Linked DNA regions of Oryctolagus cuniculus. The protein of the gene in region 2 binds, or shares a complex with, the protein of the main gene of each other region. Links are inferred from orthologs where the notes say so. Each region holds a gene or a part of one and is shown on either strand. Other genes may lie near its edges.

Region 1 (5,396 bases), on a different chromosome or scaffold from region 2:
CAGGGACAGAGGAGGCTCAGTCTTGGGGCCACAGAGCAGCAAGGCCCTCAGCGTCACCGGGTTCAAGCTTTCAATTTGTCAAAGAAGAAAACCAGAGCCCAGGTCACCATGACCGGATGAGGGTGGCAGCACCGGCTTTTTCCATCAGCCGCATGTTCCCTGCAGGGAACATGACAGAACATTCTGGAAGAATCCAGTCAAGCTTTCTGTCCCTTCCTGTTTAATAGCAGCACTTGCGGGGGAAACGCTGAAGTGCTCAGAGTCACTGCCCCCAAAAAGCAGCCAGATCCCACAGGGCAATAGTGGGGTGGGGAGTGGGGAGTAGTTGGAGTGTGTATGGGGGGAGGTGTCCAGGGGGCAGAGACCCTGCAGATCTGGAAACAAGCCCTTCCCCCCCAACTCAGGTGCAGTAAGACAGAATGGGAACCTCCCACCCCAGGTGCAGCAGACTTTTCATGGTAAGAAGAGGTGATCCCATCGTGGGGAGCTTAAAAAAGTCCTAAGGCTGAGCAGATATGAGAGATTACAAAAGACATGGACGTCTGTATCAATTTCTGCTCTTCGTTTTTAAATGCTTTATCTCACAGAGCTGGCCGGCAGCTCTTAAGCCTTAGAAATAATAATTAGAGCAATTTAATGTCTCTTTATCCTTATGAAGAACACGTAACTTAATATACTGGAAATAATAGTCTCAATGTTTCATGTCAACCCATGAGGAATTGTTTAAGAAGAGCCGGAGACTGATGAGCCTAAGTGGATGAATAAGAAGAAAGGGAAAGTTAGGCTGAGGGACATCCGGAGACCTTCCTATCAGTGAGGTGCGTTCGTCTGCAGGACAGTGCCCGCGGCAGCAGTGGACGCTCCGCTTACGGGCCGTGGGAGCGGAGCGGCCTTGGTGACTGGGACTGTCCCTCGTCAGAAAGGCACCCCAGGACATCATTGGGGACTCGTCTAGCCTGTTCTCTGGGTCTGACCGGAAGCCTGAGAAGAGGAGGTGGCCCTCCAGGAAAAGCCAAGATGGGCAGTGAAGGCCACGTAACTGCCTAGTCTCTTCTACCAAGGGGGCAGAGTTGGGGGGCACGAGGTCAGATGAACTCCACACGCAGCAAGGGGGCAATGTGGCATGGGAGGACCGCAAGTGGCTGTTTCGCGAGCCATGCCGGTGTGATCTTCCAGGGGGCAGCGCTCACCTGCCCCTCCGATCCCGGGCCCCACCATCCCACGCCCGTCTGAGACCTTGAGACTCCACGGCGGCTTCCCCAGCGCTCTCTCCCTGGCAGGCATCTGCCTCTCCCGTTCCCTCACTGCACTGCTCCTCTGACCGTGAACGGCGGGTGTCCCCTTCCACCCACACCCACCGCCACACCAGACACCACTTAGTCTACGTTGACACTGTGCTTTGTTTTGCTTTGATGACAAGGTGCATCTCGGTCTGGCTGTTAAATTCACTGCCACGACTCTCCTGAGTTTCCATGCTCTCAACTGTGAAATGGTAAAAGTAAAACCACCTCTTATTTACATCTCAGGTTGTCATAAGAAACAGGTAAGAGAGCGGGTGTGAAATGACCTTGAAATCTTAAGAACTGCAGAAAAATAAAGCACTGCTGTTTCTTGGTTCTTGCTCATTTCAATGTCGCCTGTCTTAGGATTGAGGTTTTGTGGACTCATGTTTTTAATATTTCCTTGTATGACACATTTCCTAATAACTGAATTTAAGAGCTGGGAAAACAAATACCCCACATACACTAGCCAAAATTTACTGAGAAATTACTGGGGAGGGAGGGGGAGGAAGGAGGGTGATTTGGAATCATTTGCAATCATTTGATGCTTCTGGCTGATCTGTTTAGTTTCGGTATAAAGGAATGCAGCTCAGGAAGGAAGGTAAAAAATAAATGCTTTATATAAATGCAATCATCCCAGCATTCCCATTAAACCCAGAGAACAAGGCTCTAATGCACCACCTAACACTGACTTTGTCACAAGTTACCTTTATCTTATTCTGGAAATGCATGCCACCGGCCAACCTCACCAGGCTATGTGAAAATAATGCAACACACCCTATGCAGGCGGGATGGGCTCAATACTCCAAATCACACTGGGGAAACAGGCACGTACGGCAGACACCAGCGGTGGACCGCCCTATGTCACGGCCTTCTTCTTTCTACTGGTTCACTACTCAGTCCCGCCTCAATAAGGCGCTGCTATTAAGTGAGGAAAAGCCCACGGTTATGGGTATTAACGTGGAGAGTTGAGGCCGATCAAAAGCTGCTTGACAAATAAAACACACTCACTTTCCATTAACAACGTTACTTCTCTGAAAGGCCTATAAAGAAAAGAATCCCTGACGTACTACTGAGAGTTATCCAAGTGCTGATGCAAGTGAGGACAGAAAAAAAGCCATGGGCCAGGAGGCCTTTTAAAAAATAACGCAAACTTTTCATCAATCCTGAGGGTGTTTTTCCCCCCGCTAGTGTCACTGCTATTTTTTTGGTATCCAGACAATACCACTCCTCCCACCAGATGGTTATGAGGTGTTAGGAATTTACACTGAGTGGCGTGATTACAACTACAGCGGATTAGAGTGCATAAAGGCTCGCTCTGTGACTTAGATGCTGGGTTGAGTGGGGTTAGGAGGTCAATGCTAGGGAGTTTGTCGGCAGAGAGAAGCAAGGTTTCCAGCCATTTCCATCCGACGGTTACAGCAGTTAAAGGCCAGGCAATTACGTGACCTACCGGAATGGGGACAATTTGCTTTAGGGTTTATCACTAGTTTTCTGAAGTGCATAAATTAGAGAAAATGCAAATCCTGGGAACATTCTATTGTTCTGATATGGAGGGTGAAGAGAAGAACGTGGCTATGGCGTAGCAAAGCAATGGGAATTCTCGCCCAAATCCTGTTTCTGTCGTCCCTTTTCCTGGACAACTGAGAGGACTTCTAACAAGGGGTGCCATGATTGCATGGTGATCGGATGGTGCATTGCATTCCCTGTTTTTTAAGACCAGCTGCCCTGTAAGTAGACCTGCTGTTCATGGGCCCAAAGCTGTAGGCCTCTTAATTTATAGCCTTCCTCTCTGCTGGCTTTGAATACTGGCTTGCAAGTATGAGGCAATGCCCTCGAGAACACAATTAGTTGAGGACGAATGTGCAGGGCGAGTGGGGAGAAGTGTCAGTTTAAGAGTCTCTTTGTTGCACAAGTGAGCTAGCTGAACACGAGGAGAATGCGCGTGGCAGCTCTGACCCAGCCAGCTCAGGACCGCCATTCTTGATGAGGACCACCTGAGTTTACCCAGCCTTTCCCCACACACATTAGCCCAGGGCATCCTCCCCTGTGCCCTGAGCCGCTGGGCTTTCCACTCCACCGGAGCCCAGCCAGCCCCCGGCTGGCACACTCACCTGTTTGGCATGATTCACACAGTGCATGTACTGGTTGGCCAGAGCAGAGCAGCTGAGGGTCTGGTGGGTGTTCTGGCGGTAACACTGGAGAATCCTCGCCTGCAGGTCAGCACACACTGGATGATACTCGTACCGCCTAAGGACAAAGACAGGGACCACTGAGACACGTGGCCTCCACTCAGGATACACGGAGTTACAGAATACAGCAAATGTTAAAGAACATCTCAATGTGGCCAAGTGCAGAAAAAGATTCAATCATTTTCCTTAGAACTTTAAGGAAAGATATTCAAATTATTCCCATGATAAAAAACGTATACAAGGTAAATGAATTCTATGAAATGAGCTCCATCAACACAAGTCTCCCTGGGATGCTAGAACCTTCGCTTTTAAATCCACACCCAAACCTATGAATGGCGCCAGGACTCTTCGGCCTGGTCATCTGAGCCAGCAACGTGCAAGCTGTAACTTCTCTCTTCCATCTGCAGGTGCAGCTTTCAAATAAGATACAAGGTCAACAGACCCGGTTCCTCCCAAACAGGTCCCTGCCGCCTCTTTACCCGTCACTCCCCAGCCAGAGGTAGGGCCAGACCCTCAAGCCAGAAGTCTCCCCAAAGAAACATCAATTTGAGTGGACGGTCACGTTCCCAGTCGGCACACTGCTGCAGCCTGGAAAAGTACGTTCAGGGTGGAGCCTTCTCTTCGTGTCTGCTCAGGCCGCTCTGGCCCACAAACGCTTAGCAGGCCTCTAAGCCTGGGAAACACCGACCCATATTTCAACACCACGCTCCAGCCTAACCTGTGTATAGATTCCATTAGCTCTTCCCTCCCTGCGAGGGTCTACCATACCCTTTTGGGTGACCCCACGGATCCCGTATTAACTTCTCTCGGCAAACACATAACCCCAAGCACACTGCTGTCCAGCAGAATTCGCTAGCCTATGTAAGAAGGACCCTGTCTTCTTTCCTTTGTGTCCTAAGCCCTTAGATATGGATCCTCCCCACACAAGTCAGACAATAAATGTGTTGAATGAATACAAATGAGTGGCAAGAAAACATTTTAAAATTCCCAGAGTTAAAAATTTTGCCAATTGTACTTAAAAATCTCAGATTTTTAGATTGCTCTCAGTGAATATGATATTCCAAAGATAAATGGTTCCATAATGCTTATAATGTCCACTTGAAAAATCACAATAGCAACATAAACCAAATCAATTAGACAAGGGAAAAAAATTTCTTTGCTAAAATGGCAGGGGAACTTGGCTTATAAGGACCAAATACACACAGAGAAAACACATGCTATCCTTTTTCATCTAGGAATTCATATTTGTTAAAAATTAGTTTTTTAATGCAAGAATCTTCCTTCTTATCAGTTCTTTTTCTGAAATTTAAATTTGTTATTTCCATAGTAATCTTGAAATAGCATTCTTTTCCATTTAATGGGTTCTAGGAAAGCCCTGGAGAACCTGGGCAACTATTTCCCATCAATAAGGAAACCCTTGGGTGACGATTTGTCTCCTCATTACTTTTATCCAACACACTAAGCTAATGTATATTTTGCGAGAATAGAAATGCAAAGTAAGATACCAGTCCCTGAGGGAATTTACTTCCTACTACCCTCAGAAAGCAGAATACGGGGAGGGGCCGGGGAATAGTCCTACAAATTTTACCTAACATTGCCTTTACTTTTTCATTCATTACCTTACCACTTTGTCAAATACCTAAGGAGAGAATTTAAATCCAAGCCCAGGAGTTTCAATTCTTTTTAAGATTTCCAAGTTCAGATATCTGGGACTTTTTCTGGCCACAGATTTCCCTAATCCCCTCTGATGAACATCAGCATTTAAAAGGAGCCAGCTGTGCTGCGAGGGGATCGGGCACACTTAGCACTAACTGACTGATTATAGCCGGGCCTGCACCTGGATAAATACTGAATAAAATATGATTAAGCATCAGGTGAGTGGAACCCAGCAAACACATGACTAATGACTCTAATGGCTCACAGG
Region 2 (5,396 bases):
GAGTTGTCTCTGCGGGAAATTTGTCCTCCGTCCATTACGACCATGCCGAAGATACTCAACTTCAGGCAGTTCTGGGTATGTAGTATGTCTCGGCTTTTGACTGTGTGTGTGTGCGTGTGTATGTGTATGTGTGTTTTCCTGGAATATCGGAATAGCTGCCTAAAACCTTTTAATAAGAAGTATATACTCTAGAGTTTTGCTGTGGTATCTTTGGAGGGACCTTCTGGAGCACTGTTGTATTTCTGGGTGAAAAATTTTTATGATGCCTTTTGGTTTTTTGATAATCAGCATCCAGTGGAGATGCTGCCCCTTCCCATGTGCCATCTTCTGTTCCATGGCAAATAGATTTATATGCAGAACTCAGCATATTGTAGCTTGAAAAAGTGTTCTGTTTGATATTTTATGATCTTTTGTAAAGGATTAATTTTATTGTATTTACAATATATAATTAAGGGAGAGGAGCCTTAAAAGGTCATGGTAGTTTTTTTTTTTTTTTTTTGAGTTTAAAGGAAATTGCATAATTTGAATATCTAGAGTTTTAAGTGTTGAAGGATAGATTGCTTCATTCTTTCTCCCTTAGATACTGTATTCTAAAAAAATTTAGTTATCCCTATATGTTAGGAGTTTTTTGTTGCAGACTTGTTGAAAAATCAGAAAAATATGATGTGCTACTGTGGTAGTAAACTTGGCTGCTGTGATCTGGATCAGTGGTAGAGAAGTAGATGTTACAGATCAGAGTTCTTTGATTCTCCTAAGTTGGAGAATAGATACAGGAAAGCCAAGAAATATAAATGTGTTCCCCATTTCTTTGATATAGGTTGACTGCTGGCAAAATTGCTGGAGCTGGCCTTTTGTTTGTTGGTGGAGGTATTGGTGGCACTATTCTTTATGCAAAATGGGATTCCCATTTCCGAGAAAGTGTAGAGAAAACCATACCTTACTCAGACAAACTCTTTGAAATGGTTCTTGGTTCTGCACCTTACAGTATTCCACTGCCAAAGAAGCCGGTAAGAGGTTTGTTTGTTTGTTTAGCATTTCAGTTTATCCTATGTAAGGCTTTTAAAAGGAGGTTCTTTTCATCTTGAAAATATTTTGGAAAAACAAATTGTAAAGTTTTATTATAACTGTAATTCAGTACAGCCTGTCAGAGGTACTTCATTTCTGTTTAAATTGAACTGGTAGTAATCTATAAGGTGAGTGTTTATCCTTTTGGACATGCATAAGTGCATACCATGGGGAAAATAATTGTGCGATCCACAAGGGCAAATAGAGGAGCAGTATAGGAGGAAGTAACCCTGGTTGCCCTGTGGATCGAAGGGGAATCTGTCAGTCTACGTTGTTGCAGCCGTCAAGCTCTGACTTGACAGCCGTAGATGTCAAATGGTCATGACGCAGCCCACATGTTACGTTAGCAATGGCTTCTTTCAGAGCGTGAAACAGTCACTGAAGTTTCAGCTACATTTTGATTGGCTGACAGAAATATCTTTCATTGTTCATGAGGCTTTGTACATACTCTTCATTTTCACTCCTTTTTCTGCATCAGAATTAAACTTTTTTTTTTTTTTTTTTTTTTTTTTTGACAGAGTGGACAGTGAGAGAGAGAGAGAAAGGGTCTTCCTTTGCCGTTGGTTCACCCTCCAATGGCCGCCGCGGCCGGCGCACTGCGCTGATCCGAAGCCAGGAGCCAGGTACTTCTCCTGGTCTCCCATGGGGTGCAGGGCCCAAGCACTTGGGCCATCCTCCACTGCACTCCCTGGTCACAGCAGAGAGCTGGCCTGGAAGAGGGGCAACCGGGACAGAATCCGGCGCCCCGACTGGGACTAGAACCCGGTGTGCTGGTGCCGCAAGGCGGAGGATTAGCCTAGTGAGCCGCGGTGCCGGCCAGAATTAAACATTTTTAAAACTCAACTATTTCTTCATTTAAACATAGCTTCTTGTAACAATTTATTAAAGAGTATGAATTTTGGGTTTTTGATATTGGGCAATTCTTCATGCGATGAGGCTAGACATGGCTAATCCATTCATTCAAAACTGGATGAGCTTCAATTCTCCAGTAGGTAGAATGATGTAGGACCAATTTTGTAACAAAGATGATATTTAGAAAATCAAGTGTTCCGTGGTTGCCTGCCTACCCCACACTTCAGCCATCCTTTTCTTTCTTTTTTTCGATCCATTGACTTTTATTACAAATGTACTTGATCACTTGGCTTCAAAAGTTTAAAATCAATACCCTAGTTTCTGTAGGCCAGTACACAGCAAACTTTTACAAATTAAATACCTAGAAATTTGACCAAAATAGTAAAATCTGATGAAAATTGTGAAAATCCTTAATCTCTTCAAAAGAGTATAGTCTTCCCAGTTCTATTATACAATATTAATAATATTCACCATTTTTAGACTAGGTAGCTAAATTACATTTTTCTATTAGCATAAGAAAACTCTTACTAATAGATATTATTTGTATATGATCCAGTTAAGTTTGTGAATGCCATCTGATTGCAATATAATCAACTATCTTTAATTGAATTCCAATTTATACTTATTTAAGAATTTGTATAGTTGGAAAGGGATACAGGTTATTCTACAACATAGGCTGTGATAGTGCTGTTTTTCAAGGCAATAAGTATTTGTGCCAAAATGAAATTATTTTCTTTAGTCAGGGGTTAAAATTACTAGCAGCTTTCTTCATTACCTGAAAAATCAAATTGGAATAGTTATCCATATCTAAATGTGAAGGCCTAAAAAAACATTGATATATTTTCCACTTTGAGTCAAATTTCAACCCCTGCACAAGATAACTAGAAAGTGAGACTTTCAAGTTTTTTTTCTTTAATTTCCCTGTTGGCTTTAGCTTCTTTTCTTTTTTAAAGATTTATTTATTTATTTGAAAGTCAGAGTTAGAGAGAGGAGAGGCAGAGAGAGAGGTCTTCCATCCGCTGGTTCATTCCCCAATTGGCTGCAATGGCCGGCCGGAGCTGTGCCTATCTGAAGCCAGGAGCCAGGAGCTTCCTCTAGGTCTCCCACGTGGGTGCAGGGGCCCAAGGACTTGGGCCATCCTCCACTGCTAACCCAGGCCACAGCAGAGAGCTGGATTGGAAGAAGAGCAGCCGGGACTGGAACCGGCGCCCATATGGGATGCCGGCACTGCAGGTGGCAGCTTTACCCGCTGTGTCGTAGTGCCAGCAGTTTATTGCTTTCATAAAATAAAACTGTGCATTTTATTTCAGAGTATCTGCTTTATTACCTGTATGATTATTTGTGTAGTAAGTGTTTTCTCAATACTTACTATGTAGACATTAAAACTTTTTTGATAGACATAGAATAAGACCTGTATGAATGGATACTAATGTTATATTCATAGATGGAACTTAATGTCAGAAAGATGTTATTTCTCTTATGTGTCTCATAAATATGTTTTTACGGTATGTGTACATAAACATACAAAGAAATAGGTAAAGAATTCTAATGACATTTTCTAGAGGGTGAGGTACCAGACCTCATGATTTTAAAGTTCATATGGCAGAATTCATGATGTACAAGACTAGCCAAGAAAATTTGGAAAAAGGATGGGAAAGGGTCAGAAAACATTTGCTTTCTACCTATTATGTTGCTTTAATCAAATCAGTTCTTGACAACAGGAATAGAAATTAGAGGAATAGCACAACTACTGGAAATAGATTTTAGAAATAGATTTTATTCATACACGTTTATTTTGAATGTGAATTGGTAGAACTGTATGTGAAATTGATCTGTTAATATCAAAAATATAGCACCTTGATCCAGCAGTTCCTTTTCCAAGAAATTATCTTGCAGATAACATACAACAGCACTTTTTATTTATTTGGATGTTCATTGATTCAGTGTTTGTGAGACAAAATAAACAACTGGAATGTTGAATGGTTGACTAAATTCTGAGATAGTCTCTTTTTTTTTTTTTTTTTTTTTTTTTTTTTTTTTTTTTTTTAAGTTTTAAGCTTTTTATTCAGTGAGAGAAATGTATAGGAGAGTGAGGGCCCTATCTAAAAGAGAGAGGGAAATCTGGGTTCATACCAAGTACCAGGAGCCAGCCATGTGGAAGAGCATGGAGGGCCAGGAAGCATGGGGTGGGTGGCCTGAGGGCCATGCGCCCCAAAGGTGCAGGACAGCAAGGCCCGCAATGCACAGGGGTGGAGGGAGAGGTTTCAGGCCGGGGCTTCCTGAGCTAGCTGGAAGGGAAAGGAGCAATGAAGAGACCATGTAAAACCACTGATGTATGCAAGTATTGCTTTGCTTGTTTCAGTGAGCCTGTGTTTCCTAATTTAGGAATGATAATGTTTTATTAAAAATAAAAGGGATATATTTCTTGTAGTTTCCTGTGGGTAAGTAGTCATCTTAGGGATATCTGAGACATGCTGCCAGGTTCTGACAAAATGTGAGACATCACAGATGGTAAATAAAATATTTCTGTTACTCCTTAACTTTCTCTGGCACATCTCTGGAAGTCTTTTATGGATAGTACCTTAAATCTAAGGCAGGTAGTAACTGGAAAAGAGAAAAGCAAGCATTACTCACAAATTGATGTGTAATTGCATGAATCCTGGAGATTAAAGAAACAAAAACTGATTTTCATTTTTACTCAGATTCTGTAGTAAACTTTGTTTCTGACACTGTAATTTGATTTAGAAAGTAAATAGAAACACCTGCTTGTTGTATTTGTAAAAGAATCTTTAAGGGGAAGGGCATATGTATACTTTATTGTTTGTCCTAAAAGAACCTTTTGTTAGTACTAAAATATGCATTAGTGATTTGGAATAGAATTTTTGAACTGCAAATTTTCTAGTAATGATGACTTTTCTTACTGTGATTAATAAAATGCTTTTGTTGTAAAGCACTCATAATTTCATATTAAAAGCCTGAAAGACTTGACCTTTGAAATATTATAAATTGTTGTGTGCTGTCTTTTAGAAACAGTATTATATGTAAATTTTTTTTTTTTCCCCTCAAGATTCAGTCTGGTCCACTAAAAATCTCCAGTGTATCAGAGGTAATGAAAGAATCTAAACAGCCCGCCTCACAACTTCAGAAACACAAAGGAGATACTCCAGCTTCAACAACAGGTACTTCTATCTAAAACCATTCTTTAAAAATTATGGGGAAATGAATTGTTTTGATGTATTTGTCAAGAGAAGGCCCCCGGGGAAGGACTCTTCTGGTCCCCAGCTCTCACAAGTCATTCTTGTGCTCAGTTTCAGAGTTGAACATAGCATTGAGCTTTATTATGAAGAACTGAGTGAGGAAACAGTATAGGTTGTCTGGCCTGAAACATATTTATCTTTTTTTCCCTCTGACTCCTAGACTTTTCGCCTCTTTGGGTTTTAAGATTTATTCTCCCCCACCCCCCACCTCTTTTATCTACC

What was found.
Region 1: IMMT (region 2) and CHCHD3 share a complex: the UniProt entries of both Homo sapiens proteins name them as parts of the mitochondrial contact site and cristae organizing system (MICOS) complex. The link is inferred for Oryctolagus cuniculus from reciprocal best matches to the Homo sapiens genes IMMT and CHCHD3.

What each region holds. Positions count from the first base shown.
Region 1 is NC_091434.1:168,673,501-168,678,896, forward strand, and holds part of CHCHD3 (MICOS complex subunit MIC19), read right to left. Parts: exon of another isoform or gene 3,531-5,396; coding exon 3,395-3,530; intron 1-3,394. UniProt on the Homo sapiens protein: Component of the MICOS complex, a large protein complex of the mitochondrial inner membrane that plays crucial roles in the maintenance of crista junctions, inner membrane architecture, and formation of contact sites to the outer membrane.
Region 2 is NC_091433.1:116,579,208-116,584,603, forward strand, and holds part of IMMT (MICOS complex subunit MIC60), read left to right. Parts: intron 1-1; coding exon 2-75; intron 76-817; coding exon 818-1,007; intron 1,008-4,984; coding exon 4,985-5,096; intron 5,097-5,396. UniProt on the Homo sapiens protein: Component of the MICOS complex, a large protein complex of the mitochondrial inner membrane that plays crucial roles in the maintenance of crista junctions, inner membrane architecture, and formation of contact sites to the outer membrane.